2 linked regions of the Lytechinus pictus genome follow. The main gene of each other region encodes a partner of the protein of the gene in region 2 in a complex. Links are inferred from orthologs where the notes say so. Each region holds a gene or a part of one and is shown on either strand. Other genes may lie near its edges.

Region 1 (16,569 bases), on a different chromosome or scaffold from region 2:
AAAAATAAAATGAATATTAATAATAGCAAAAACCAACAAAATATAAGGTAGCCATTAAAAATAAGAATGATCCTGCTTATGAAATAATGGTTGCAATGGCAACAACAATTATGATGATGATGAGTGCAATATTATCATGATAATTGTCAATGATGACAATGATGTGATGACCTTTTTTTAAATAATTTGAAAGGAGCAACAAAAACAAAGCTGGCAATATTCAGAAAATGACATGAATCTGAGTGGAGGATGGAATTTACATTCAACTTTCAAGCTTTAATAATTGGTTAATTCATGTTTGGAAGTAGAAACATTTATCAAGTGCTGCAAGTAGAATCACAAAGTTATGCTGAATATAATCAAATTTGATATGATGTGTCTAAGTATCCCACTGATAGCCAGCACAAATATCATGTCCAGTAATTGTGCAGGTAGGAAAAGGTGTGGGTAGGACCCATAAACTGAACTTATCTACAAAGGGTACATGTAGCACATCACAATTTGCTCCACATTTTCTTAAAGACTGCTAAACAAAATAGGGAGCAGATTTTTTTACATAGGACTGTTAAGAACTTTATAGTTGAGAGCTTTATCTTGTGACCAAATATGCTTATCAAATTTGGTAAGCACAATAATTCCCTGCTTCGTTGAGAAGTCATGTTGAACATCATACCTGATTAGATAAATTGTTTGCAAGCACATGTCCCTGGTTTGTTTAAACATGTGTACTATTAAAAAGTGGTCTGCATTTTTAGACTACAAGAGCTGAATGTGAATTTTGTACTCCTGGCTTCTCCACACCAGTTGAAATGTGTAAAGGACTCATTTCTTGATTTACAGGACAAGTCCACTCCAACAAAGAGTTGATTTGAATAAAAAGAGAACAATCCAACAAGCAAAACACTGACAATTTCATCAAAATTCGGATGTATAATAAAAAAGTTATGACATTTTCCAGTTTCGCTTAATTTCACAAAACAGTTAAATGCACATTCCGGTCGGTATGCAAATGAGGAGACTGATGACGTCATCCACTCACAATTTTTTTTGTATTTTATCATATGAAATAGAGAATATTCTATTTTTCTCCCCATTCTCGAGTGAAACATCGATTAATTCCTCCCTGAACATATGGAATGAGCATTGTATATGATTCAGTCAAGTTGGTCCTTATTGTCAAATCTATAAAAAATCAAATATTGTATTTAATTCAAACAATAAAAAACAAAAGAAATAGTGAGTGAGGGACATCATCAACTGTCTCATGAGTTGTGCATATCACTGTTTAATGAAAAATAAGCAAAAATTTAAAATGTCAAAACTTTCTTATTTTACATACGATTTTGATGAAATTTTCAGCGTTTTGCTAGTTTGATTTTTCTCTATTTATGCAAATCAACATTTTTCTGGGGTGGACTTGACTTTTAAGCGTTAATTTGTGTCTGTGTATCTGCAGACTTGTGATATTAAGCAGAGCTGCCAACCTTTTAAAGTACAAGGTAGTAATCCAGCAGCTCAAAAGTCATAATTTTGAGATAAAAGTCATAATTTCATACATGCAAGGTAGTACTATAAATTTCTAAGAAGAGGTAATACTAGTATGCACACTGGGTTCCAAAAGAAACTGATAAAACTTTACGAGGGCACTGCACAAATTTCACTGAGTCATAATGAACGATATTTTGTTTAAACACCTCTCATTTTCATTGGTCTTTCTTTTGCCATTTTGTGACTTTGGATTCTGAAACAAATTGATGTGAGGGGCTATAGCACCTCTGTGATTGAACCAAACTCTTAATTATTGACATACCCTAATAGTAAAGATTATTGAAGCTAGCCTGTGTAAAATATTGTTCATTTTGACTATTAAAGTGGGATGTACAGTGCCCTTGAAACTAGATAGAACAGATGCACAATGCTCATAAATGCCAAGTTTGCCAACCCTACATGATGGTTGTCAGGTATATTCATCTAGGGTGCTACATATACATTACTTTTGTGAAGCACTAGCTTGCCTTGTCAGGCAAGTAAATTGTACAACTACGCAATGTATTACTATGTGTTTATTAGATGTGTACATACCTATTCTACTTCAAAAGCAAAATAATTAAAGTCAAAAGCATAATGGCATAATTTGGCATGAAAATCATAACAATTGTGACTTTTTCTAAATAGTTGGTTGCTCTGGATACCGGTAAGCACATGACCTTTGCACGGTTATGACCCGTCACCCATCCTGTAATTATTTTTTTTTGAGGGGGGGGGGTTAAATCCATGGCCTTTGATCCCCCCAATAAACCTCAAAGTCACTTTGTACCCAATCGCAGAAAAGAGAAATTGCCCTAGAAATACAGAAACTTTAGTAGGGCCTGAAATTGTCAAAGATTTTACCTTTCGTTCATGAACTTGAAGTGAAAACAAAATAAAGAATACTTGGAAATCTAAAAGGATGAATGAGAAATACCGGGGCCCCATCTTACAAAGAGTTGCGATTGATCCAATCAACAACTATGGAAAGCCAGCAAAATCAACATCTAAAATGCATGTTTGTTCAAAATATCTTCTAGATACCGGTATGAATATTCATACATGCATCTTTTTTCTTGATAGTTCAAAGTGCCCATCTTTGTTTCAAAAAGGACACTTTGCAAATTTCCTACAGAAAAAATCGATCGGATCAATCACAACTCTTTGTAAGACATTGACCAGGGCTCCGTAACAAAGATTAGCGATCAATCGCTAAATGAACTGACCAATCAAGATCAACATTACACGCGCATTCGGCACAAAATACTGACCAGGAACCAATCAGAAGTGTTCTCTCACATTTGCTATTCATCGCTAAGATTTGTGTTACGGAGCCCAGGAGTGACAGATTTGTTCCAACTTACCTCCATCTTGGCATTGGTCCATCGTGGTACCTCCACAACCATGTTCAATATCTGCTTCTGTAAATTACAATTAGAGGAATAGGGAATCAATTTTGTTCGTACACTGAATTAATAAAACAAGAAACTTACTTTAGCTTGTACATCATAATCAGTTTAAATATTTCCTGTCTAAGAAAATATTTTGGCATGCGTATCTTTCTAATTTTATTATTTTACAGATTCAGCTTATATTAATTCATATTAATTATTTTCATGATGCTTTCCTCTGTTGTAACTATACCCGTAAAGAAATCCATGGTGTCAATAAAATTTCAGTCTGACTACCAACAAATTCTTATTAGATACATTGCATCTTACAATTATTTCAGTGGCTCTGTTTTGTTTTCCATGGCTTGGGATTTTTTATTTTTTTGGTGACATTGCTTTTAGATCCAATTACCATTGATCCTTTGCCTTGTGATCGAGGAATAGGGTTCAATTTTAAGGTCTATGATTTGATCATACTGTCAGATATCCCACATAATTATTAGAAAAAGAAACCGCTAACTCTAATAAATTAAATGTGATACATGTACTTGTACATCGTAAAATTTGCAGTATCGATAAATCTTTATGTATAGCAGTAATAAAGATTTGACTATCTTTGGCAGAGCTTTGCATGTTTGAACCATTCATAACATCAATATACCATCTGATTACTCCAACAAACATTAATCTTAATAATTTATGTGTGAATAAATACTTGAGCTTTGCCTTAACAAATACAAATATAGTAATTACTGCCGTGTGTGTGCACTCTAGGTACGCTGAAATTTAATAATTACTGATAACTTTTAAAGGTCAAGTCCATCCCAAAAGAATGTTGATTTTAATCAATAGAGAAAAATTCAACAAGCAAAATGTTAAGAATTTCATGAAAATCGAATGTGAAATAACAAAGTTGTGACATTTTAAAGTTTTGCTAGTTTTCACAAAATAGTTCAAATCCAGTGACATGCAAATGAGAGAGTCTATGATGTCCCTCACTATTTCTGTTCTTTGTTTGAATTATACAATATTTCAATTTTTAGAAACCACTTTTACAATAAGGACTAACTTGACTGAACCATACAATGTTCAAACCAAGGTAATTCTTCATGTTCATGGAGTAATAAATCTGTCTTTCACTTGACAATGAGGGGAAAATTTGAATAATTCATATAATAAAATACACAAGAAATAGCGAGTTGATGACGTCATCAGTCTCCTCATTTGCAAACAGACCAGGATACATGTGCATATTACTGCTTTGTGAAATTAAGCGAAATTTTAAAATGTCATAATTTTCGTATTTTACATCAGATTTTGATCAAATTTTCAGGGTTATGCTTGTTTTGTTTTTTTCTCTTTTTATTCAAATCAACTTTTTGTTGGGGGTGGACTTGTCCTTTAATCTTTGAACATATTGGAGAACTCAGAACTCACTAGAATTTAATGAAGCAAATATTCAGCAAGAGCTATATTGACTACAATTGCCCATCCAACCTTATAAGATATACACATAGTAAGGCCTTATATTAAAACAAATGTGAAGATATATGTATTTTTTTTATTGCAACAGCAAGTTTGATGTTAACCTTCTGTTTTTATTAAATATGAAGAATTCCAAGAGTGCAATTATTGTAAATATCACAGAATCAATATTTTTTACAAGAAAATGTGGGAAAATAGATGGGCTATGGCATGATGTAAGAAAGAGAACCATAAAAGATATGTAAATTTATGATGATGTAAACACAGAGCAAAAAAAAAGGTCATCATACAAATTTTTAAAAATGAGAGAAAAAATGAATTAATAATTATCTTACATCTTTATCAGCATATAGTGGAATGTCATGAAATGGTGAAATCACTTGACCATCGCTGTTCCCTAGAAATACAGAAAAAAAAGAAGGAAAACCAAAAATCTAAATAGGTATCTAAGCTGAAGTGTAGAGGATAGAAATAAGAGTCCACATTTATGATTGATACTTGTAAGAAGTCTGCCTTGATAAGTTGATTTTAATAAAAACAGAAAAATTTGAGAAAAATTTCAATTGGCGAAAGTTTTATGAAAATCAATCTAATATTATATTACAAAGTTTTGATCTTATGATGCCACAGAAAGACAATCAGCTCTTCCATATCTTGTGTCATATAAAATGCAATTTTCTCAAAATTCTGAAATTGATTTCATTTGTGCGATCCTTTCAACTCCTTTGACAAGATAAATAAATTTGTTTATCATATTCCATAAAAAAAGGAAATTCATGGAATTTATATCACACTTGGCGGGGAATATCATGTTTAGGACATTTTTTTTTTCATTTCTCCCTAACGTAACATAAACAGCAAGCATGTGGCCTCCAATCGGGCCCAGTTCACCAACTATTTTCTACAACTTGTCGCCTTCCTACAGTACAGTCAGTCTACAGTTTTATTTTTACACCAGCCTTTATTCCTATGGCTATGATACTACCCCCCCCCCCCCCTTTTCTTGATCTCCGGGACACTGCGGTGCATGGCCATACACAGTATGGCAGTGATTCCAAACTTTGTGTGTCCATACTTCGCAAACGGTCACTATCTAAAAAACTAGCCAATATCCTTAAAATCTGACATCAACGTGAAAAGCGACCTGAAATTACCCTTTGGCATAAGTTTTTTTTTACGATGAGTTCAGTATTCACGAAAATATTGACAAAAGATCAGCAAATTTGTCACCTTTAGTGCCCGTTCCGAAGAAATTTGATATTCTCAACAAGCATCACGATATCATCATTTTGTTTGCAAGCAGATATCATAAAAAAATGTGAGTTCAATATGGTACTAATTCTATAGCATTTTGTCATCAATCTGATATAAATATCTCACCTTTTGAGCTTGAGTTTTTATTTAAATCTCCACAAAAACTTTGGTCCACGAAGTTAGGTCACACTTTTTCAGAACGGTTTTCCACCAAAGCGCGCATTCCTCGATCGGAATAGAATTTTGAGATCGCAATACTGGCAAACGTTTACGATCTTGCCGTGATAGGCCCTAACAATTTCTTTGGTTTTTTTATAAATTGTGAATATTTTGTGGACAAATTTAAGCCTAATGAATACTTTTGAAAAGTCTGAGAAGTTTGGAACCACATCATACACACTGGGGGGGGGGGGGGGCAGTTCCCCCTCCCCAGAAATTTTGAAACTTTACATTTTTGATTTTTTACTAAATTTTTTGCAAAATTCACGAACACTACATACAGCATGCACGATAAGTTCGGTGGGACTAGCCAGAAGGCTCCTAGAGAGTAGAAAATTTTTACTCTCTAAAGTCAGTCACTAACGTGTGCTTACTCACCACGGAGCCAGGGATTGCCTCCCATTCATTCATGTGCATGTACCGCGAAAAAAATTGAAATTTGAAAATTTCGCCCTGAGATTTCTCCTTTCCTTCTAATTCTAAAACAAAAAAAGATCTAGCCCTAAATCATGTAAATGGGATACAACTTCATTTCCGACATTTATATGACATTGATTTCATTTTTAAACAAGAATTCATTAAAAAAAACAAGAAAAATATTATGAAAAGACGGAGAAAACCTGCCGTGATGTTTACGTCGCCATCTTATTTCTTTTTGTTCTTTGCCAAGATACAAGACGCATATCCGATATGCGTCATGTATCTTGACAAAGAACAAAAAGAAACAAGATGGCGACGTACATGTAAACATCGCGATCGCGGCAGGTTTTTTCCGTCTTTTCATAATATTTTTCTCATTTTTTTAATGAATTCTTGTTTGAAAATGAAATCAATGTCATATAAATGTCGGAAATGAAGTTGTATCCCATTTACATGATTTAGGGCTAACGTTAGATCTTTTAGAACGAAAATATAAATCTTGGACTTGGCCTTGGGGGCAAAAATTTCAGTTTTTTTCGCGGTACACGCACATGAATGGGACGCAATCCCACTCCCAAGCTCCATCCATGGAGAGTAAGCACACGTTAAGTCGTTAGTGAATGATTTTCACTCTCTAGTCTAGGAGCCTCAGTCCTGGCTAAGTGGGACTCTGCACTGCCACAGGTGAGTTGTGTTTCAGACTCCAGCTCCGACATGTCAATGACAAATCGCCTCCGGCCTCCTGAGCTGAGCGAGTGGGCGGTCAACTCAAGATACTGACGCCGCCCGGATGGGCAACGCCTGGCCGCGATTCCGACGACCTGCTCACTGCTGCAGAGAAGAGCCGTAGCCGTAGGAGGTACTTACTGAAGAACAGACGGTAGTCGAGCGAATTGGGTGCACCTCTGGGTTCAACTGAATAAGCCATCGCTAAAATTCGACAGTCACTGAACTGAAGTTTTGACAAATCTATTCGAGGTCGAGAATGGCGAGTAAAAGAGATCTTGGAATAAGTTCTCTGGGAAAAAGCAGCCGAGAGGACACGACGGAGGATCGGAGTCAACATGTGGACAGATTTACACGCATGCGCCGATATTAATTAATGGTATCTTTGCAGATAAAAACGATGATTGACAATCTTGATTGTGATATTATTCTGTCCAAAGTACAACTGTGCAGTTCTTCCACATGTATCCGTTGGCTGCATGTACAGATTTGCAATCCAAGTTCAAAGTCCAAAGTCTAAAGTTCATAAGAACTGCTACCGGTGTTTTTTTTCCTTCAATCGATATATCTGCATGCCGCTCGCTCATAACAAAAAAGGGGACACGCCCCCCTATTGCGATTATGCATGTGCATGGTATTTTTCAGTGATATTGATGCACGTGGTATCATGCCACCAAATGACCGATATCATAATTCCCGCAAAAAATACAAAGAGAAATAAAATATTTTCCCTTCAAATCAGGATTTCATTTTTGCTAGGAGCCGATGCAAGTTTTGAGCAGGGGCATCCGATCGATCGAGCGCAGAGTTACCCATGCGCCTTAGTAAATGGACTTTCAAAATGAACCCTATAGTAAAGTTCTTTTTTATGTAAAATTGTGATTGACTATACATGTATGATTTATGCACTCTACATGCAGTGCTTTTCCCCTTCTGTGATTTCATATGGTCCAATACTTAAATTGAATTTGTAGAAAGTTCGTATATACTTTTCCATTGCATGAGGCCCTATCTATAACAATTAAAATGCATTTCCTTTTTATGATATTGTGAATATACGATACGTGATTATGTTTCCTTTTGTATTATTATGTTTCCTTTTGTATTATTATGTTTGTATGAATGTAATGCATGCCTATTTAAACTCATCGCAATTCGGCTATGCCTCAATGATGTTTAATCAATAAACCAGTTATCTATCTATCTATCTATCTATCTATCTATCTATCTATCTATCTATCTATCTATCTATCTATCTATCTATCTATCTATCTATTCTGTCTGTCTGTGTGTTTATCATGATATGGCACCCTTATCAATTATGATAAAATAAGTTGCAGTGATGAATATCTATAATGCATTAAATCAATTGCCAGTCCATTTTTTTCTTCGAGGTCACACTTCGAATGAATTGAGATCTTATGTTATAAAATACAAAACAACACGTGGAAATATCAGATTGCTCATTGAATATTCGTGAAGACATGCATAATATTCATTGTTTTACAGAAATTATCAGAATATCTAAAATGTCATAAATTTTTTATTCCTTGTCCATTTTTCATAAAATTTCGAGTGCTTTGTTTGTCGGATTTTTATTTGTCTGTTCAAATCACATTATTTTCAGCCTGGAGAAGGCCTACGTACCATTTAAGAAAAAAAAAATCGACAAGCAAGCATTTAGCACTGAAAAACAAACAAAAAAATAGAAGACTTCCCCAAAAAGTGAAATGTTACTGTGGCCTGTGTCAATTTAGTCCTAATGACATTTATTTTTATTTTTATAGTAGGCCTTTTCTAGGGGGGGGGGGGTAGAAGACAGTAGCGTACGTAGGATTTTTGAAAGGGAGCAGGGGCGCGTGCCCCGGGCGAAACACATTCAAGGCCCAATGAAAATAGGGAGAGGGGACAAAGTATAAAAAAAGAAAGAAGAAAAATGGAAAGGAGAGGAGAGGGAACAACAAGAAAAAAGGAAAGGAAAGTGGAAAGTAGCAGTGGCGTAGCTAGGATTTTTTTCCTGGGGGGGGGGGGCACTGGGGGGTCCTTGCTTTTTCAGGGGGGCACAATTTTTTCCGTTGTGTGTGTATGTGTCACAAGGGCGGATCCGACTTTCGCCAATAGGGGACGGGGCCCGAAATTATCTTCACCTATTTTTCCCCCGATCAGTCACTTCTTATTTTTATTCTTATAAAACAACAAAAACATGAAATAATCTCATAAGCCTTATAAAAAGTGCGAGCGCGAAGCGCGAGCGATTTTTTTGTTACTTTCATGTATTTTTTCCTGAAAATTTAATATTCTGGGCAATGTTATGTGTGATCCTGAACAAGATTCGTATGTAACTAGATGGTTACTGCGAACGCCAAGCGCGAGCAGAAATTTTTATTAACTGTTCTAGCATTATCGAAAAGGGACCTGTTAAGGACTGCTTACAGTTACCCACGAAGACGGTATATATTTCAATAATGCGAGCGCGAAGCGCGAGCAAATTTTTTTGACATTCCGACCTAAAAAATTGTCATTCTAAGCACTTTTTGTATTAATAAATGGGATAGGTATGTTACTAAACAATTGATGCGAGCGCGAAGCGCGAGAGGAAGAAAATTGAAATTTTAGACCTAAAAGCGGGACACTCTATTCATATTTTGTAAATCATAAAAAGGATATAGTTAATTGGGTATCATTAATAATGCGACCGTAAAGAGTGAGCAGACAATTATTGATATTTTGATGTGAAACTGGATAATTTAAGTACATTTAATATACACAACATGCAGGCTATCGCGCATGTTTTAGATTAAGACCTAGAATCTGGGCAGTATGAATACATTAGTTTAATGGAACATTATGGAATACACGTAGACAATAGGAACTTGGCAAATCAAACAACTTGACCACGCAGCGTGAGCTTAAAAATGCTGATATGTAGACTATATAAAAGTGACATTTTACAGCTAGAGCACTTGAATTTGTTAATGAAAAAAAAAAGATGAAAGCTCGATGTACGAGCTAAAATATATTTCGTATATTGACTTAAAAAATTGCTCCATATCAGCCTATTGAGCAAGATATGAATCTCATCGAAAGGGCAATTCTGGCGCGAAGCGCAAGCAAAAGTTTTGTAAAGTAACATGAAAGATTTGTTTTTTTTTGCAAGTCTTCCCTTCACATTATTTCATTCACTCGTCTTCCTCCTCTTATTTTCCTCTTCTTTTTTTTCTTGTCTTTCTTCTTCTTTTCCTTTTTTCTTTTCTTTTTTTTGGCTCTGCCAATTTTTTTTCAGGGGGGGGGGGCACCTGGGGGGGGGGGCACACCAAATCTCAGGGGGCACGTGCCCCACGGGCCCCCCGTAGCTACGCCACTGGAAAGGAGAGGAGAGGGAAAAACAAGAAAAAAGGAAAGGAAAATGGAAAGGAGAGGAAGACAAGTAGATGAAATAAGTGGAGGGGAAGACTTGGGGGAAAAAAACAATTCCACGTACGCATTGAGTGTTAAATTAAATAGATAGAAGCTTAGAATATCCGGTTTCGAAAAATTATACAAACATAAGTTAGGCCGCATATCAAGTTTTCATTATTACAAATTGATTCTAAAGAAGTGCTCAGAAAAGCTGAACATTTTGGATTTTCCAACCTGAAAATTTGCCATTACAAACACTTGTTGTTGCAATCATACAATTTGATCTATTTTATTACGTTCTGGACCCCTAGGCAGAACAGAGTGGTAATAATTACCAATGTGAGTGGGCAATCTAGCCATTCATATGTATTCATTTTATTTTGTAATTATATCTGATGTATTTTGTTCGTACTTTGCATGTTTTTATGAATGTAGAATAAATACAATACAACAATAATTAATTATGCATGCGCTGCACGCATGCACTATATAGGGTAGGCCTACTGTATATGGTCGGCCGAGTGTGCCTAGAGTGACGTACCCCGGTGCCCATTGCTATCGTAATAAGATGTGGAAATACTATACAGGTAGAATCTACTCGTCCATGGGTACCGGCTACTCGTACTCTGGACCGGGACTAACATAGACATTTCCGGGGGCTTTTCCCGGGGATTCGTATAAGTATAGGCATATTTGGTTTTTTTTTCAGAAACGGACCCATGTCTAAGGATTATTCAACTGCAAAATAGGACCAATGGCTTTCTTGCAATATAGCAAGACCCATGTCTAAGGATTTTTTCTTGTTGTTGCAAAAAACGACCAACTATAGAGCTGCGGCAAATCCCCTTATGCGATATACACGCGAGTACCCCCCCCCCCCCACCCCGATGCAGGTTTTGAGAAGGTATTGCCAGCTAGGACGCAAACGTTAGAGTTGCAAAGGATTCGTAAAAGCTTGAGAAAGAAAAAAAAATCATAAACAGTTTTCATTGTTGCAAAATTTCTTTGGAAATCCTTTTTCCGCGAGCAGTTGCTGCCCTATTTGCAAATATAGTCGTAGGCCTATATAAGTTTTTGCAAACGGTTGTAATTTGACTTTTATCGCGGAAATTTCTCTTTTATTCACTAATGAAAGCGATATGGCTCCTGTATAAAATAGACCCACTTAATAGACGTTAAAAAGTAAAACTACTCCGCTAACGAAAAGCTCACCTAAGATTTTTGGAAGCGATCCCTGCAAAATATTGTCGAAGCTTCCGAACATTATCATTTCTCTTTCTGTGCACTTTTGTCGCATAAAATACGAATTGGACTTTGCTACTTCTGACATTCACGACCTTGCAAAACGCTTTAGCCCCATCATTGATCATGGTGTAGGCCTAAACGGCGCCTAAAATGGTTGTGATGTTCGCCTGCAAAGACACGGCGGATGCCATTACTGTGATCATCATTATACTCATTGCACTCTAAAAAAAGGGTCTACCCAATATTGGGTAAAATGGGAACATGCTTGTTGGCTGGGTAACAGATACCCAATATCTTGTAAATTTTACGCAATATGTTGCGTTGAAATAACCCAATATGGGGTAAAAAAAAATACTCAGCAAACATGCATGTTCCCTTTCTATCCAATATTGGGTAAAATTTTACTCAGTGTTTTTAAAGTGTGGGAAGGCTTATAAAAAGTCTTTCAGAAAATTTAATTTATTCTTGATTTCCACACTGATAGAATTAATGTTGTACAAGACAGTCAAACAAGAATAAGATACAAACTTTACCTTTTGTATATATGCCTATACAGCAATTTTTTTATTAGCATTTAATAACAATTATCCTTTAAAATATAAGAATGTTAGATAACAATATTTGAATGAACTCTAGTTGTTTAAAAAAACATTTCAATTAATACACAAGATTTGATGAAAGAGTCACAAGTCATACTATAAGCCATAATGTAGAAGTCTCTATATCATCACAAAGCATGCTGTTTCTCATTAATTCATTTCATTCATTAAAACCTAAATCTTTGAGATGACTCGATTACTCACGTTACAGAATGATCCGAATGCCATGTTGAAAGACTTGATTAAAATTTTCCCCAAGTTGGAGCTCTAAAAAAAAGCAATTTCACATGCTTGGAGATTTTATTTCATTTCGAGTAAAAATCAACATTATAATAACAATAATAATAGCTTGATGTATAAAGCGCCTTTTGCTAGAGGATACAAAGGGTTGCTATTATTACCCCGGCTGTATATTGATTATCTACATTTTCCTCATTGTTATACTGTCCGCGCTACGTGCTTTTTGAGAAACCGGAACCTTTAAGAATCAAAATGAATAAAACTATGAATATTAGACACATCAAATTTTTCCCATTATATATAAATATACAAAAAAGTTATTACTTTTGAGTTGCATAGCGGGGTTACATATTCTACTGTTTGCTGTAAACTAAATTACTGAAAGTTCATGGATATACTGCATGTCTCCTCAAAAATGTAATTACTCCGCATATCTACTGCAGGGAAGTTGAAACATACTGTTATTCCACCAAAACACTTATAGGCCTACTATGTACTATGAAGCTGTATTGATATCCTTGTTAAGGAACTGTCTCTAAAAATAAATCTTTACTCTTAACAATCCACTGCTTCCATTATTATTTTTGTTTTAAATACTTGTCTCTTTCCTTTGTGATGTATTATAAACATATAAAATATTACAACTCTGGCTTATTATTTCTGAATTATTAATTTTCATGATTTGAGTCTAGCTGGGTTACTTGTTGGGACAAATGATCCTATTACATTAAACAATTTCATAACAAAGTAACCACGATTCGTAAAGCAACTGGAATCATTCGCATTTGATTTACTTTTACCAATTTTTCAATTGTTTTTGATGGCAAGATTTGTTTAACTTGACCCTGGTAGAAAATGCTTATAAATATAATGAAAATAGACTATAGCCCCACACTGCCACATTCGCACTCAAATTCAAAAGACAGCGATACACCTATAGAAATGAGATATCCGTAACTATTGCCATTTGGTCTACACTGGCTTTGTCTATTTTTTCCGTTTGGTCTCATTCCACTTGGTCTAATCGTAGTTGTCCAAAACCAGTTCGTCTACTAATCATTTTGATCTAACTAGGGGCCGATCCAGGATTTTCCGTATAAGGGGGGGGGGGGGAGGCACATGTCCCAGAGGAAAATTTCACCCAAAGTTTCAGATCATTGCGTCCACGGAAAAAAAATTTGATAAGGAAAGAAAAAAAGAAGAAATTTCCTCACTATCAAAGGGGGGGGGGGCACACTTGTAGTAGAACGGCAAATTTACATTACAAGTTTTGATTATGCCTCTCAAGGTGGGGGGGGGGGGGGCAAGGACCGGATGTGCCTCCCCACTGGATCCGCCAGTGGGACTAACTGACACTTACCTCATTTACCAATTTGTCTAATTTCCGACTAGGCTTTAGCCATTTCGTTTAATGTTCTCACTCCACTTCATCACCTTATAGGCCTAATTATGATTAGATATACTTCGATGAAGCGAAAATTAGACCACCTGGAAATAATAATTATAAATGCCTGACTAAATGAAAGTTAATATCAAATTGATATCAAATTCTACAAATTAAGTAAAAAACAGAAACATCACAGAAATCATATAAATCAGTTATAGTGCAGTATTTCATGAATACAGAAGAAATACAAAATATGGGGATGGACATAGTTCTTAATGATCTATGAAGGTCAATACCCCCAAAGTAGACCGAGTAATCAAGTAATGGTTGGACCAAACAGTAATCAGACCAAATTGATAAAAGATTCAAGTGGCATTATAGCCGTGATGGTGTTATGATTTAAAAATTAGACCAACTGCTAACACCAATACCACGAGGGCGTTCGCGGGGGGGGGGGGGTATACCCTGCCGCTGAGGCAGAGGAGTTCCGACACCGGCAAGCAAAATGAAAGCGGCCTTTCTTTTGCTTTCAACAACTGATTTTCCAAACTTTAGTTCCACCTCCCTATAAGATGTGCATCACCATACCCCTTAAGTTCCACCTCCACACACAGCAAAAACTGTGTTGTTAACCGGTGTACATAGAGGACCACACCAGTTGTTTTACACCGGTGTTAAATTGGTGGTGTTAGTTTTACGCCCATAGATGTTATTACAACACCTTTGGTTGTTATATTTACACTCTTTGGTGTTATGTTCAATCTCAAGGGTGTAGTTTTAACACCTCAGGGCGTGGTCCTCTATTAACACCAACTGGTGTCAGTTTTAACACCACAGTTTTTACAGTGCAGGATGTGCACCTCCCCATGCTCAAACTAGCCTACACGAAGTGGATACCAACTGATATCAAAGTGACTACATGCCATTGTATTTTCTAGTTTTCTGAGTAAAGTTGATCTATCTTCTCTTTAAACATATCCTTGATGACGTTTCGTTTATTTTTGAATGTCGGCGTGAGAAGTCCGTTCTCGACGGAGAATGGCTCTGGATGCAGGATGAAATTTCTCACCTGTAAATGCAATCAGTCAAAACATGATCACCTGTTTGAATTTAATCAAATTATCAAATGCAATCAAGTGTGCTAGATGAGACAACCAAATAAATGCAATTGATTATAGTCACATCATGCACTATTCAGTAGACATTGGCAACATTTCCCGCTTCCATTGGACACCTTTTTATTCCTGATTTTTTTTTTTCCTTATACGTATATACCAATTTGAGCAGGAACTAAATATGAATTGAACTATACTTTCAATTCAATTCAATTCAATTCAATTCTTTATTCCATTTCCATTCAAAACATAATACAAATTAATATAAAGTAATACAAATTAATTAAAATTTTACAGACGAGCATTCTTACTTCGTAAAACAAAAAACAGTATAATATTTTTTAAAACCTATTATTTTCTAACATGTAAACCATAACTGTATATGGCCTACTCTGACAAAGGACATCACCATGTGTATGAATATTGTCGCCTTGGTCATTTCAATATCTTTTGTCTCAATCTTTAATCCATGTAATAACTGTGAAACTTTGTTCATTCCTAAAAACAAATAAACTTTCAGGATGAAAACTTTGCATATTATTTCTTAAATGTTTCAAAGTTTGTTTGCCACCGCTGAGAACACATATGACTAGATGTATGCTTACCAACCACAGAAGACATCCTTATGGACATGTTAGACATTATACAGTGCGTATAAAAAAGTTTACACTTAGAAAACAATCCTCTAAAATTATGCATTTGTATTTTCCTGAAAGATTTTCCACATTTTAACATTGGTACAGATCCATTTAAGCAAATGACGATATAACTGTCGAAAAATATTTCCGCTGGTCAGAGTGAGCACCACTTACTTTTGAAAAGTTAGTGAAAAAGGATTTGCGCAGAACTTTGAAATAGTTATGTGAATAAAAGTAGACCTTAATCATGAAGAACACATGTAATTTAGCTAGTAAAATTGATTTGAAGATATCTTTTACCTTTTTTTAAACTTGTTTCCTTGCCCAAAACACTTCAAAGAGTGCATTGCACCCTACCCGACTCCCCCACACACCGAGGCCATCGTGACGATATTTGCTTTACACTGAGCTGTGATTTACTTAAAATGGCTTGATTTTCAATTTGCTAATCATTGTCAAGCTTGGGAAAGGTGTGGAGAAACAAGTATCAAATGAAAAATTAAATGTGAACCCACTTTAAATGATAAAAACTTTGTGAAAAAATGCTGGAGATGTCTGATATAAAATTTTGTTCAGATTCAGTTATGTCCTCAGATCCAGCTGGGACAAAAAAAAAGGTAAAGGTTGTGCTTACTAACACTAAGTGTTGAAATTTCAATTTGGGTGGCAAAATTGTTACAAAATGCTTCAATTGACTAAAAGTGCAAGGGAAATGTATGAGAAATGTTTCGCATGGTAAGCTTGATTTCGCCCTTTCCCCTTGACACAGCGTGAAAATGAGCATTTCTGCGCAAACAGATTTCTGCGAGCTTTACAAAAATGGACAGTGCTCACTCAAGTGTAACATTCTGTCAAAACTATTACTTCCATTGGATAGATGAGACCCAAACCCAAGATTATATGTGAAAAAATTACCCACATGTT
Region 2 (15,940 bases):
AAAGCGGCGCCTATATAGTCTCACTCTGCTATGCAGGTGAGACAAAAATGTTCTGCTCGCGTTTTACGCTCTCATTATTAATGTAGGAAGATCCCCAATTACTCATCGATCTTCATGATTTACAAAACATGTCCCGTTTTTAGGTCTAAATTTCGATATTTTTTCCGCTCGCCCTTCGCGCTCGAATCAAGTGTTTACTTGATACCTATCCTGTTCACGATTACAAAAAGTGTTTAGAATTTCCATTCTTTGGCATTATTTGATTTGTTAAATGTGTAGGCCTAACGTCTTAATGCCTAACTGCAAGCAGTCCTTAACAGGGCTCTTTTTAATCACTTCAAAACGTACGCTCGCAGTTATTATTTAGTTGCATACACATCTTGTTCACGATCACAAACATTACCCGGAATATTCAATTTTTAGGACAAAATACATAAATCTAAAACAAAAAACCAAATTAGCTCACGCTTCGCGCTCGCATTTAAACAAGGCTTATGAGATTATTAAATATTTATGTTGATTTATAAGAATAAAGCTAAGAAGTGATTATTAGGACTACCCCTTCAAAGAAAAAAAATCAACTTCGAGCGGCCGATCGGGGAAAATATGGCTGAAAAAAAATTCGCCCCCCTCCCTATTGGCAAAGGCTTGATCCGCCCCTGCAAGGCAAAAATGCCTCTAAAGACCGAACAGCTATAGGCAACACTGCCCCCCCCCCTTTTTTTTTTTTGATTGATTGATTGATTGACAACGAATTTATTCATTCCAAAATTTCAACAAAGTTACAAAGTAAAGCAAAATATAATATAACATTTTGAAATGAAATAGGAAACTTCTGGAAAGCAAAGCTTGTTATTGAAGGTTTCCTTTAATAAATAAGACTTAATGCAAAAAACAATATATATATATATACTAATCATATCGTTCTTGTTGAAGTTCAAAATAGATACAATAAACAAGTCATCATATCTTTCTTGTAAAAATTATATGTAAAAATTATATGTAAATCCTTGTTAAATGTATTTTTTTTTTTTTTACATATTCTCCCAAATAAAAAATAAACAAGGCTGGATTATCTTACAAGATATGAAGAAAAAGTGAAAAGGACACACAAGACAAAACGTTACGAAAACAGGACGTGACAGAACGGTACAAGATCAAGACATGACAAAAAGTTATACCAAAACAAGACAGACGAAGTATTACAAGAACAGACAAATTGAAAAAAAAGACAACGACAACAACAAAACAAAGGACAAAAACGAGTGAAAGAAAGAAAGAAGAAGGAAAGAAAAAAACCCAAAAAAAAAACAGGTAGAGCGAAAGAAAGGAGACGGGAAAAGAAGCGAAATAAAGGCAGGGTGGGGGAGGGGGGAATCCAGAAGAACAGAAGATCCACAAGATATCCTAAGTAGGATGAATGATGTGAGTGTTATAGTTATTGGTTAGATTTTTTTTAAGTGCTCTATTGAAGCTATGAATAGTTGGCTTATTTCGTAAAGTTTGCGGAAGTGAATTCCAAAGTTTGATACCAGAAGATATAAACAGTTTGTTTGTTAATAATGTCCTCGTTCTAGGTAAATGGAAAAGTCCAGCAGATCTTGTAGGGTAGTGATGTACATTGATATTTCGTGTGAACATAGAATAAAATACGTCTGGTAGTTCATCTTTACTAAGGTTGAACATAAAAGATCCAAGATTATAATGGTAAAGATCATGTATCTTAAGAATTCCATGAGTTTTAAAAAGAACATTCGTATGTGCCCGATAATGAGAATGGCAAATAACGCGCAAAGCTTTTTTCTGAAGTAGTAAAAGTCTATTCAAATGAAAATCAGCACAACTCCCCCATGCAATAATACAAAAGTTCAAATGCGGGAGTATCAGCGTAGAGTATAAGTTTAATAATATACGAGTCGGAAAATAGAATTTAACTTTATTTATAATTCCAATATTCCGTGAAATTATTTTGCATGTGTTATCTATATGTTCTTTCCATGACAGTCTGTCGTCGATAGTTACTCCTAGAAATTTCGTACTTAATACTCTTTGAATATTAATATTATCAAAAATAATGTTACCTGGGAGTTCATCAATGATATTGCTGAAGAGCATGTATTTTGTTTTAGTGAGATTAAGCGATAATTTGTTGGCTTTGATCCACTCTGAGACTAGTTTTAATTCTTTATTAAGTGTGTCAAGTAAATGTTTGGGGTCCTTATGAGAAAAAAATATATTTGAGTCGTCGGCAAAAAGAATGAATGATAAAGTACTTGATGATTTATAAAAATCATTAATGTAGACCAAAAAAAGAAGCGGACCCAAGATTGAGCCTTGGGGGACTCCACATGAGATAGATTTGGGAGGGGAATCTACATTTGCTATGGAAACATATTGCTGCCTACTGCTGAGGTAGTTCCTGAACCACTCCAAGGCTATCCCTCTGATTCCATAATAATTAAGCTTGTATAAAAGGATATCATGGTTGATTGTGTCGAAAGCCTTGGAGAAGTCCAGGAACACCCCAACAGTATGCTCATACTTGTCAATTCCATTGGCAATCTTATTAATCGTTGACAACAGGGCATGAGTAGTACTATGTTTTTCGCGAAAACCAAACTGCAGGGGATAAAACAATTTATGTATATTAAGAAACTTTGTCGTGCGTACAAAAATTACTTTTTCCAAAACCTTCGAAAGGCATGTCAATAATGATATGGGGCGATAATTTCCCAACACGGTGTTGTCGCCTTTTTTAAAAATGGGGATTACTCGGGCTTGCTTTAATGAAGAAGGTACAACTCCTGTAGAAAGAGACAAATTAAAGATATAAGTCAAAGGTTTAATAATGTGTATCAGGTTTCTTTTCAGGAGAATGTTACTTATATCGTCACATCCTGAACTCATTTTATTCTTTAGTCCAGAAATTATATCAGCTAGTTCTTTTACGTCTGTTGGTGTGAAATATATCGAATTTGGATTAGGGACATTAAGAAAAGATGTGAAGTGTTTAGAAGAGGCAGGGATTGTGCTGGCAAGATTTTGGCCTACGGATGCAAAATAGTCATTAAAAACATTTGCCAAGGCAAAGGGATCCTCTACCAATTCACCATCAACATTTATTTTCGTGGGCGTAGACATTCTGAAGTTACCTTGTATAACGTTTTTTATAACTTTCCATGTATTTTTAACGTCGTTTCTATAGAGGTCAAATTGATTATGAAAATAATTCTTTTTACATTTTCTCAGTATACCTGTCAGAATATTTTTGTAGTCAGTGTACTTTTTTCTATTACTGTCGCAAGGCTTTGAAATAGTTTTTAAGTAAAGGTTATTCTTTCTGTTTATTGAGCGCAAAATGCTAGGTGTAATCCATGGGGACCTTGGAACCTTTTTGTAATTAGAGCGTTTGAATCGCACTACGGGAAAAGAGCTATTCATTAATGGATTCAATTTATTCATAAAAGCGTCAAATGCATCCTCGGCATTTTGAATACTGTAAATTCCTGACCAGTCAACATTTCCTAACTCTTCATTGAACAGATTCATATTATTTTCAGAAAAATCACGTCGAGTATTATGATCAACTTTGTGTTCAGTGGCGTTGGTATCTAGTTTAAAATGCGAAAATATGGGAAAATGGTCCGTCAAATCAGAAAGAATTATTCCCGTAGAGAGAGTACTTCTGGTATTTGTAAATATATTGTCGATGAGAGTAGCCGATGTACCTGTGATTCGAGTTGGCTTGGTTATCAAAGGAAGGAAACCTGCTGTCATTATTACATCCGAAAAAGTTTGAACAAAAGTATCAGTATCGTATTTTAGTAAGTCAATATTGAAATCGCCGAGTAAAAAACACGTTTCATTGACCATCTCATGGAGTGCCAATAACCCATGGAATGTATTTAAAAAGTCATCGTGGGAGGAGTTAGGCGGCCTGTAAATCGTTCCAACCAGAATATTTTTGTCGTTGGGCATAAGAATTTCAACAAAAAGTGTTTCAATAGCATCATTCATTAGAGTAAGATCAGGCCTTAACCTGTAATCGAATTGTTGGGATACAAAAAGAGCAACGCCTCCACCTGATTTCCCTATTCTATTATTTGTGACCAAATTATAACCTGGCAGCGTATAAAAGGATAGTTGAGTAGAGTGGGAAAACCACGTTTCTGACAAACCTATCACAGAACAAAAGAGCTTAGAATTCAATAAAAGGGAACGAAGTGATTCAAAATTTTTGTTGGCACTGCGAATGTTGCAATGTAGCATTAGAAAGTTACTGTTGTCAAGTTGTTTCGACGCTATCTGTTTATCAGTAAAATAGAGCGAGGGGGTATGTTGATACGTATTATCATTAGGATCAGAAAGAGAATCAAGATTAGCTTGTGCATTGAGAGTTTGAGCTACGGAGTCATGAAAAACAGAATTTTTACATTCATCATGTTCATCAAACTTCGAATTAAAGGCAGCCTGGAAAGTATCGTGTAATTCATCATTATCTATATCAGAAAATGGGAAATTTGTGTTTACAGCCATCACAAAGGATGTCTAGGGGATCTCCAGAGATAGGGAGGAGTATGCAGATCAGCTAAACGAAATAACACAAGACATGATATTACGAGAATGACAGATACGAATACAGACAAATAACGACAAACACAAAAACAAAAACAAAACAAATATACAGTAGCACTTAAATCCTAGGAACCTTCAAATTATAAAAAGAGGGAGAATATTCAGAGCTGACTATATAACAGGAACAAAATAAGCAAAGTATTTTAGGCAATATTACAGACATTAACCCTTCGAGGGAAGACGTAAAATGCGTCTATATTTTCCATGTATATACATTTCCATGAGGTGGAAGAAGAACCAACAAGCACCAGCAATAATGAGACAATTGAAAGGTTATTGGAGGAACATGCAAGCCCTTTAAATCGCAAAGCATAGCAAATGAACTAATAATAGACATTACGATAAGATACTTCGATATAAAAAGATTGGGACAGCAATCAAAATAAATAAAACGAAAGAATGATAAACATCTGATACTGTATTGTGTTGGATATGTATCAATAAGTCCAATATGTAAATAATGTTCATATATACCATTTGTGTAAGAATCTCCCAAAAGTAAGACAATAGGAGGAATTAATTTGATACATTAGCATGAAAAAAGAAAATTCTGCATAAGAAGTTCTTTGCAGTAAATCGCTTTGTGTACAATTCAAAACCTAACAAGGGTGGTGCATGCTCCCCCACAAACCCCCAAGATCACACACAGATTAAAACGGCAGATATAATTTGAAGGAATATTGTAGAAACAACAGCAAGGAGGAGAAAGAATGACCAAATGTCGTGTATTAAAGAAAAAGCATACATTCTTAGACAAATACCCATAATGATAAAGAAACATGTAACGATTGTATAAACTGCGAAAAGGATAACAATCATGTATTGTGCGACCACACTTCAAAAAATGAACCAGTCCTTCTAACAGTCTAACGACTGGATGGAGGGGCTTCTGTTGCATACTGGCATTTCAAGACCCTAGAGTGAAAGGAATAATTCAATAGTGTTCCAACATGTCAAACGTTGGTTTAATCTGTACTTTATGTAACTTGTTAGGAGTATGATTTTCAACGTTGTACCTGAGTAAACAATGGAGCGGATTTTGCGTGATATGTCAAAAAGAAACACGTACAGCATACAATAACAACGATCTAGAAGGTTCATCACAAAAGGGTCACCAAACACCAGTCTTCAACGGAATATAGATCATCTTATTTGATGGAGGATATGAAGTAATTACACTTGTTGTACATGACACTTATTAATATTATAAAACCTAAGAATACCAACATGTAGCGGTGTAATTAAAAGCCAGATTACGTGAAGTGAAATCGATGATAGTATTAATTCACAAACTCTTCACATCAATTTTAGATAAAATTTTTATCGAAACCATTCCACGGTCCGTCTCGTCCGCGTTGTTTTAGTTTTGTAACTAAATGCAATACAAACATATCCACCTCTATGCATGGGGCCTATTTATTTATTCATTTATTTATTTATTTATTGATATATTCATATTCCACGAATTCTCAAAGTACATATTCATTTACAGTAGAAATATAAATCATCTGCATGTGCAGTTTTGAAACGTACTGAAAAAAATTTAAAAAGTGGAGGGGCCTACTTTAAGCAAAGCTTTAGATGCAGACCTCCTATCAAAATTATATACAATGAGGGTAATGTATGATATGAATAAAGTGAAATAATCAGCAAAATTCTGTAAATTGATATAGATTTAGACACTGTAACACGAATGTATATTCACTATATACAAAATTATAGTAACTTTAAAATAATCAACACTTCCGTGGATATTTGATTAAATCAGTATGAATTCAGAAAAATAAATTGATGAGTAATTTAAATCGGTTCAGAGAAGATGCCTCTTTTATAAATGCTCTGTCCAAAGAATTCCTGATTTTTGGTCCTGTGAAAAATATACTCTTGCTCAAAAATACTGTTGTTTTAGGTAAGTGATAGTCATTTGACTGTCTGGTATTATATATGAATGCAAAGTATTATTTCTCAGTACTCCTTTTTTCTGAAGTAGAAATACTTTGTCGAGTCTCGTTTGAGAGGCATTTCCCCATGCTAGAATCCCATAATTAAGATCAATGCAAAATACTGGAAAATACAAAAACAACAACGCGCTGAAGTTCGATCTGTGAACAAGTCACTGCTCTGGATGCAGATCACACCGTCACTTTCCTCGAGTGAATTTTTGCAAACCAATCTAAATTCTAACCACTTCTTAAATTGCTGATGCTGTCTTGAACTCGCATTATTAGATCACTGATCTGTATGTACGTAATCACGTTGACTCCATAGAGATGTTATTAGTATATCTCTATGGTTGACTCACACTCATCAAATTGGTAGTCCTTTCACCGATTTACCAATATCATTGCTAACTTCATCCGCCTAACGCGGTAAAAAATAGTTCACTGAATTTCTCCCGCAAGCAAAGTTATGTGGCCGAGTTCATGAAACAAAACCGCTGATTGGTTTATAGCAATCAGTTGTGAAAGGTGTTTCCCCGCAAGGTCTCATAAATATAAATGGTAGCAAATAGGTTATTTGTAGTCACCGTCAATTTATATCTTAAGTTTTGCCACATCTTGTTCAAATTAGATAATTGTGACCCGGGGTTCATAGTTAAGAGGATAACGCATCAGATTTGCTTGGAAAATGCAATTGGGAAATTGGCACATATGCAGACTAAACGCGCACCAATAGGAAAGCATAATCGGAAAGGAATAACGTTGGAATGAAAAATTCATTATTTGTTATAATTTCAGACGTTTGTCACTAGATCATGTAGATCAGATGCAGTCAATCATTTATGAATTTAGAGGTATTATTTGTCATGATGTTTGGGTATTTGTAAACATGTACTTGGGCATGAAGGGGGCTCGCCGAGCGATCGATCGCGATAGCGGTAATTGAATGCATAATTGGTCACGTGGTCATCTACATCAGAAAATGGCGGACAGTGCAGAACTTGCGTGCGATTCGTAAATATAATGCCGAAATCGTGTTTCACCGCGAAGCTTGTGGATCTCAAACCTAAGTTAGGTGTGCGTTAGGTTACCAGGCACCCGCTAGCAGCCGATAATTTGTATTTCAAGATGCCGAGGGGACGTGGACGTCCGCCTAAGTCACTTGTTGATTCATTGGACGAGACGCCGGGAAATGCAAAGAAATCTGGTGGAGGAGCCGGAGTTGGACGGGGCAATGATGGCCAGAGCAACGGCTCCAGTCCTGCAAGTTCTCGCTGTAGCACACCGGTAAGTCAAGCCAGCAGTACCGGCGCAGTTGGCCGAGGGAGATCCCCGAGATTACGTGAAGCTGCGAGGCGGAGCAAGCGGCTAATTCAAGAGGTCATAGAGGCTCAAAGAAGTCCCCAGGCTAAGGCAAGTCCATCAAGCAGTAGCACAACAAGTACTGGAAAGGGGCCAGGAAAAGGGAGAGGGAGAGGTAAGACTCCCACAACACAGAGTAAACCGGGTGCAAAATCAAAACCAAAAGGGAAAGGGAAAGGAAAAAAGGCAAGGCCAAAATATGAAAGTTCAGATGAAGAGGGAGTTGATTTCAATGAGGAATTGTTGCAATCTTCGTCAGAAGATGAGATTAGTTCAAATAGTTCGCAGTCTGAATTACCAGATGATGATGAATTAGAAGAACTAGAAGAAGACGACAGTGACGACAGCAGCACGGCTGCCAAGAAGAGGTTATTACTTTCACGGACAAATCGGCCTTTCGCATTGCCATTCCTGGAGGCAGAGCCAGAGGAAATTCCTCCAATTGAACTTCCAAAATCTAGCACAGACCTCCTTATCGACAATGAGGATATGATGAATGCTCTATCTGTGTATGAAGTTCTTAGGCATTTCAGTCAACAGTTAAGACTCTCTCCATTCCGTTTTGAGGATTTTTGTGCAGCTTTGTGTAGTGAAGAGCAATGTTTGCTCCTAGCGGAAACCCACATTGCTCTGTTGTACAATCTTGTGAAGGAAGATGAAAGTAGCAGTACAACGTTTGGTCCTCAAGACCAGCGAGACAGTATCAATGTCCAGTTCTTGTTTCTAGATAATATGACGTGGTCTGAAGTTGCAAGAGCGTATGTTGAAAGTGACAAAGAATTCCGTGGTGCATTAAGTGCTCTAGAAGGAGAAAACTACCCTTTTGCTCCTGTGAGTGACAAATTAACAGTGTTGCATCTCCTTTGCGACCAGTTCCTGGCATCGAACAGAGTGCGTGAAGAGATTCTGAGTGAAGGTGCAATAACCTATGACGACCATTGCAGGTCGTGTCATAAATTGGGAGATTTAATATGTTGCGAGACATGTTCAGCCGTTTATCACTTGGAATGTGTGAATTTGGTGGAAGTACCAGAGGAAGACTGGATGTGCTCGGTGTGCAGGCAGCATCGCGTTCTTGGTGTCTATGACTGTATCTCAGAGGTGGAGAAGAGTGGACTCCTCATTCGACAGGAACCCTTGGGTTATGACAGGCATGGCAGAAAGTACTGGCACTTTGTTAGGAGAATTGTTGTGTGAGTATTTCTTCCTACTATCTGTCTTTCTTCCCATTAACTTTAGACATTGATGGCTATAAAGGGTGTGACCTTTTGAGAATCTGTAAACAATATTTCAGTCTTAAAAACAAGAAGGCACATAACTAAGAGCAAATGCATTTCCTTTTTATACTGATTTAACTTTGAAATAATGAAGAAATAAGAAATAGATTTTGCCTTAAACCTTTGAAGTGTAATATGTGTATTTCAGAAGTAAATTTCCCACCAACCACTTATCATCTCCCCTCCCTGTAAATTTGAGATGGGCTATAAACATAAGGCTTATTGAATTTAATTTGTCAAACATGCATTGGACATGAGATAAACATTATACACTGTACCCTTGCCACTGGAGGTTTATTTCTCTAAAGTTTGCATGCAGTATATCATAATCATTGATACTATTTATCTTTTAAAATATGCAGTGAAGGTGAGAACGAGCTATATTACTACTCCACCAAGCTTCAATTTGAAGAATTGATGCATTCTTTGGATGCAACAAAGTGGGAGGAGGACTTGTGTCTTGCACTGCAGGATTGTATGGCAGAGATCCTTGAACAGATGCAGAGGACAGAGGAGCTGACCAACAGCGCAAGGGGTAACCAGAAGTCAGTGCTTCAGAAGTCAACAGGTTGGTTGGTGCTGTCTTTTGTAAAGCTTGTCAGTTTTATTTCAACTAGTTTCTGTTTAAAATCAAAGTAGGCCTATGTTAACTAAAGAAAGTGAAAAAAAAGGAATTATGAACAAAATTCATAAGTAGCACCAAATTAAAGAGGAGGTTATTGTTTAATCTATTAGACTGTGAAGCTGTTATTTTCTGTGAAGGGTAAAAATCTTGAGAAGCTCAACAAAGCATGGTTGTAGAGAAGTAGGAGCAGCCTACTGCCTTCACAGCCACTCAGAGCTTATTCATTTGTTGTATTTGCTGTTGCTGCTGGCTTACAATATCTGTAGTGATTGGTGGCTGAAATAGCAGATTCCTCATTTAATGCATTATTTTATTGCTTAATCATTGGCTATTACATGTACCGTTGGAACTTATGAGTTATGCACAAGTCTTTCGCATGTTTGGTGTAAGCAAACTGGTAATAACTAGAAGGTCCTCTTGTTTGATTTTATATAGGATGTAGTTGTAAGAGTTATAAGTACAAAAACACAATTCACCCTCACCCTCCGTTTTCTTTCCTCCATGTAAATCTGTGTTACATTATAATTTCCTGCCCGGGTCTTTTTCTAAGAGCAGAAGAATATTATTAAAGTTGCCATCAGACTTGATTTAGTTTATTTTATTTCTGGTCTTTCCCCTTTTCTCTTGACCCTTCCCTCATTCTTATACTGTATATTCACAAGTCATAGGCTATGCAGAACAAAGGATTTACTGGGAGGGACAGGGGGCTGACAGTTTGCTGTGTAAATTGTCCATTTGAGTAAAAAAAAAACGTCTTGATATGCAGCCTAATGTCCCTGGCAGTGAGTTACTGATGTGTGTGCAGAAGGACCCTCAGAATAGAAACAGTGCTCACTCGATGAGTACTTGTGAGCTGATGTGAAGAACCACTTGTTCAAAGTTTCAGTCAGGTTTTCTGTAAGGTTACATTCATGTACATGAAAGGGGAATCCAACCCAAATAAAAACTTGTTTTTATAAGGAAAAGAAAAATCAGACAAGTTGAAAGGTGAAAGTTTGAACAATGTTGGACAAACAAACAAGAAAGTTATGAATTTTTTAAATTTGTAAATATTGGTAATCACTATACCCATGGAGACTTCAAATTGGCCGCATATGGGATGTCATAGTGATGTAAGGCAAGGACTACTCTTCCATGTACTCCAATACATATTATGGCTAAAATGTCATTTTCCCCAAAAGTTTTATTTCAAATTATATTTTTCTTTCATGAGGACATAAAACAATATACTACATGGGTTATATTTGGATGACTGCCCCAGGGGAATGGGTACTTAGGAGAAAACCACAAATCCCTGATAATAAAGTACATGGCCTATGGGAAAGTTGTCCTTGCCCCTTGTCATAATTTACTTACCCAGTTGCCAATTTGAAATCTACATAGTATTAGTGATCTCAATTTTAAAGCAGCTATAACTTTTGTATTGCTTGTCCGATTTCTTTCAAAGTTTCACCATTCTGTTTCATTTATTTTTCTCCTTCCCCACACAGCATTTATGGCCAAGGCTGGATTCCCCTTTAAAGGAAAACCAATGAAACCAGTTGAATTCATAAAACGAGAAAAATCCAAGAAATGGATCATTGAAAGATTGAATGAATAATATAAGTTTGAGCCTTTGAATATAGAGGTGACCACTAAAACTTGACCTTCCCTTTGGCAATGCAACCTAGATCTGTGGGGTCTCACACATTCAACTTCCCCATTACTTTGTCTATTTCTCTTAAATTTTCTGTTTTATCTAGTCTTCACTGTTTTTATGTTTTATCTAGTCTTCACTTTTTTTATGAGAGGACATGTAATAAAGGCTTCACTACATATCATGGATGAATTATTTAAAGCCCTTAAAGTGAGCAAAAAAAGAAGAAGATGGTTTAGGGTCTTAGGGAATTTTTTACCTAATAAGAAAGTTGTACATATCATATCATAGATCTCCATAGCATTACCATTAGTGAACTTGACATTCGAATCCTAATAAGTTTTTTATTGCTCGTCAATTTTAGTCAAACTTTCATTGATCCTATTCTTTTATTTTTCTTCTTTCACATAAAGCTAACTTGCTTCAGTGGTTTAATTCTCCTTTAATTCCTTGGATGGTACATTTAGGTGTTGTAAGCCATTGATGTGGATTCAGGTTTTTTTTTAAAGACAATATTTGCGTCAAGACTGGGGGTCGAGAATTGTGAATTGATTTTACTCCTGTGCGCATTTATTTTGTTTCAGATGAATTGAATGCTTTGAAGGCTGAACGAGAAGAGGCACTAAGGAAAGCAGAAGAGGAGAAGCGAAGGCTGGAGGAAGAAGCCGTCATCGCGCAGGCCCAGGCAAGAATGAAGGAGGAGGATGAATGGCAAGAAGAGAAAGAGGATGAAGAAAAAATGGAGGTTGATGTGGCCAAAAGTTCAAACAAGTCTGTTCAGGAGGAAGTGGTTGGTGATTCAGTAACCAAAGAAGATGAGACAAGAGAGGGGACGGGAATGAGAAGTGAGGAGCAGATGGAGCAAGGAGATCAACCTGATACCAATCAATCTGAACGTGACCCAGATTCAGAGCTATCAGAAAAGAAAGAGGAAGGGGATAAAGAGAACAAAGATGAAGCTGATCAGAAGAATAAAACTATTGTCATGACACGGTCAAGAAATCCCAACTACAAACCCCCTCCCCCTAAAGCCACTCCTTATCTAACGTACACTACAAGCATTCCAACTCGTACAAACACTTCCCTTGTAACAGGCAGACCGAGGACCGAAGAGACACTCGTCATTAATTCCAAGGGAGAGATTAATCGCATTGGTGGAGATGACTCCGGTAAGGGTGTTTTGACAAGGGGCGCCATGCGTCCAGAATCTCTCTTCAAGCTTGGCATGGAGGGGACGTATAAATCGTACAAGAATCAGTTCACCACCAATCGGCTTGCCCTCAACAAACCCCAGCACGCTGAGGAGCGAGATCGCAAACGCTACCTGGTCAACAAGTTCAGTCTGACCCCTGCAGCCGAGTTCAAGTGGCACGGGAGCACCAACAGCAATCGCATGCTCACCATATCCACGCTTCGTCTCACCACCACGCAGCTAGAGAGCAACATCCCCAGGGCTCTCATGCACACCAACTGGACAGTCCATCGGAACAACTGGATCAAAGCCGTCCACATGTGCTCCAAGCCTCATGCCTTTGCCCTAGCCCTCTCTGTCTTGGAATGCGCCATCAAACCTGTGGTGTTCAACTCCTACTTTGCAGATGGACTAGGTCACGTCAGAATGGTGAGGACTACGGCTATGGATAAGGAGGAAAGGAAGAAGATTGACAAGAAGAGGAAGGATGATGACTTTGAAGAGATCCAAACGAACTGTAGTTGGGTGAAATACTGCTTCCCTATCAAGCATCAGGTGAGTACTTCCAGGCCAAAGCTTTGGTAAAATGTCATAGTATTATCATCGAACATACTAAGGTTAAAGAAGTCGAGTTACCATAGAATCTTTTCTCAGCTGCTAAAAAAGCTCTCTGAAATTTTGAAATTTCAGTGAATTTTCATGTGAAAAGTTAAGAACCAAAACTGATTTTCTGTTTTGATTTAATACTGGTGAACGGAAAATCTCTGTCAGTATAGTAGCACATGTATCAGAATATTCCTTAAACATTTACGAGTAATGCTTTAGTGTTGTTTTTTGTACTCGGATGTCTCAACGTATGCTCTGTATCAGTAAAGACTCTTCTTTTTCCTGTGACGATTTTTAGGTGTGGAAGATGAAAGGCGAGGAGTATCGTATCTATGGCGGGAGTGGTTTTCGTTGGCATAGCTCCATCAGGAAGAGGCGCCCCTTGCCCCCACCGAGTCCGGCTAAGATTGGTCTTGACAGGTGTATCAAAGCAGCCAAAGCTGGTAAGTCAATCGTTAAGCTTTTATATAATGAGAGGGAATGAAACCTTTGGAACAATGTCATCTTGTGTAAAAGCAGAAAAATAAGTTCAACAAAAGTTTCAGGTGAAATTGAGCAAACAATTAAAAAGCTTTAAGCATTTGACTGTCAAGAAATGCTTATGGCTGTGAAAATCCTCCCAATGTGAACAAGATGTGAGATGTTGTCACACATGAACAACATTCCTCTTTGTCACTGAAAATTCTTTTTGCTCATTCTGATGATAGGACAAATAATTCATCGATTAAAACATGTGCAACCTGTATTTATAAGCTCTCATAAAAAAAAACACACCTCATTTTGTTACATACTAGTTAAAAGAGAAATAGGTGAAATATGTCCATAAGTTATGGCGAAGTTGTACACGTATTTGTGACATTACAGAGCTTGGTCGCATTGCCAAAGGGAGGATCTGCATAGCATCAAGCTCAATATTGAAGTACTGATAACTTTTGTTGATCAATCTTATTCAATTTTCTGTCTTCACACAAGTTAACTTGTTTCATTCTCTTTAAAAGTAAAACAAGATTAAAATTCAAGTTGTAGCCTTGCATGAAATAATGAACAATTAAGTCTTTGATTTTATTGCTTGCTATCAACAAACAGCAACAAGATTCCACTTCTTCATTTGTAATATTCTTTAGGTTGTAAATTGTTATTTGAAACACATTGAGGGAATGAAATGGATTTCCCCCTTTTTTTCCATGTACAATAAGTTATGCCTAAAGCCAACATACATGTACATGTAATGTATGGTTTGAATCTTAAAGGTCAAATTTACGTACAAGGATAATTCAAATGATCGTGTCATGTTTCCAGGTGACTTAACAGGCAACTTTGGGATTTGGGAAACATTATTACTCAGTTTTCATGTATTTTTCTACCAGTTTAGGTTGAAATTTGTGAAAAATCATGACTATTCAATAGGTGTGCTGATGATGTCATTGCTCCACTTTCCCCTATTTTATATAAAGTCATTATTATTTCATGTTTTCATACACTGTACAGTATGTGTGTGTATGTATGATATATCTCCCTTCAAACAAATTAAGAACGTTCCACAGTTAAAGTGAAATCCATTTTAACCACACTTTGCACATACATGTAGATACTTTAGTACCTGAATATTTGAAATATGCATAAGTTAACATGGGTCCATGTGCTTGATTTATTGCAATAGAGCTTCAAAATTCACAGAATGGATGTTCATAAGGATTGCACATTCAAACGATTTGGCATTTTTGGGCCTCACGAGGTCACTACAATGAGTTTAAACCTCTATTACTCAGTCAAAATCTATGAAAATTTCATCAAATTTTTCAATATAGTTAATCAAGGCTCCACATAAACTTTAAATAATTTTTTTTTGGTGGCCCGATATTAAAGTTTGGTGGCCCGAAAAATATAAAGAAAAACATTAATTAAAAATGAATAAAACAAACTTCTGAAATATTAATTCTGCAGCCACTACCACTAAAAAAAAGTTACTTTCACTTTGTACATCTTGTATGTAAATCTTGTTTGCTGTTATTTTACTTTGCTAATTGATTTGTGGTAATAAATAAATTGTTCTATTGTTGAAAATATGAAATGATTGAAAGAGAATAAATGAAAGAATTGTATTGTTCCCAGGTTGTGTGGACTTTTTTTTAAATCTCCGTATAGACACACACTCATAATAGTAAAGTAAATAAATAGTGCATAGCAAACTCAGATAGATGTACAAAACAATGATTTTTTCCCTTCTTCTTTTTTGAATCCTAAAACCTTCATTTAGATTATGCAGGCCCCAAATCCAGTTTATTTTCTCTTTTCCAGCATATTATAGCAGGAGAAATTCACAGAAAAATATGCTGCAAAATTATATCAATGCATAAAAGGGGGAAACAAACAAAAATAGTTTTTAGAATAGTATATTGAAAAAAGAAGAAAAAAAATAAATAAATAAGTGAAATAAAACAAAAGAAAGGGAATGGAGAAAGAAAAAACAAAGAACAGGAGAAAAAAAGAAAAGAAAAGAAAAAATTTAGAGAAAAACCCAAAAGGAAATGAAAGAAAAATGAAGAAAACAAAATTAATAAAAATGGGGAAAATTATTATTATTATTACTATTATTTTTCAGTAGAAATATATTCTTTAATCAGGCATATTCAATGGGAAGGGGTATAAATGGTTTAACCACTTAAA

Evidence for each region.
Region 1: nucleosome-remodeling factor subunit BPTF-like (region 2) and inorganic pyrophosphatase-like share a complex: the UniProt entries of both Drosophila melanogaster proteins name them as parts of the NURF complex. The link is inferred for Lytechinus pictus from reciprocal best matches to the Drosophila melanogaster genes E(bx) and Nurf-38.

What each region holds. Positions count from the first base shown.
Region 1 is NC_087262.1:17,326,456-17,343,024, reverse strand, and holds the start of inorganic pyrophosphatase-like, read right to left. Parts: upstream 7,572-16,569; 5' UTR 7,363-7,571; coding exon 7,164-7,362; intron 4,801-7,163; coding exon 4,739-4,800; intron 2,949-4,738; coding exon 2,892-2,948; intron 1-2,891. UniProt on the Drosophila melanogaster protein: Component of NURF (nucleosome remodeling factor), a complex which catalyzes ATP-dependent nucleosome sliding and facilitates transcription of chromatin.
Region 2 is NC_087254.1:2,978,061-2,994,000, forward strand, and holds the start of nucleosome-remodeling factor subunit BPTF-like, read left to right. Parts: upstream 1-7,092; 5' UTR 7,093-7,118; intron 7,119-7,482; 5' UTR 7,483-7,703; coding exon 7,704-9,130; intron 9,131-9,576; coding exon 9,577-9,782; intron 9,783-12,059; coding exon 12,060-13,222; intron 13,223-13,571; coding exon 13,572-13,716; intron 13,717-15,940. UniProt on the Drosophila melanogaster protein: Histone-binding component of NURF (nucleosome remodeling factor), a complex which catalyzes ATP-dependent nucleosome sliding and facilitates transcription of chromatin.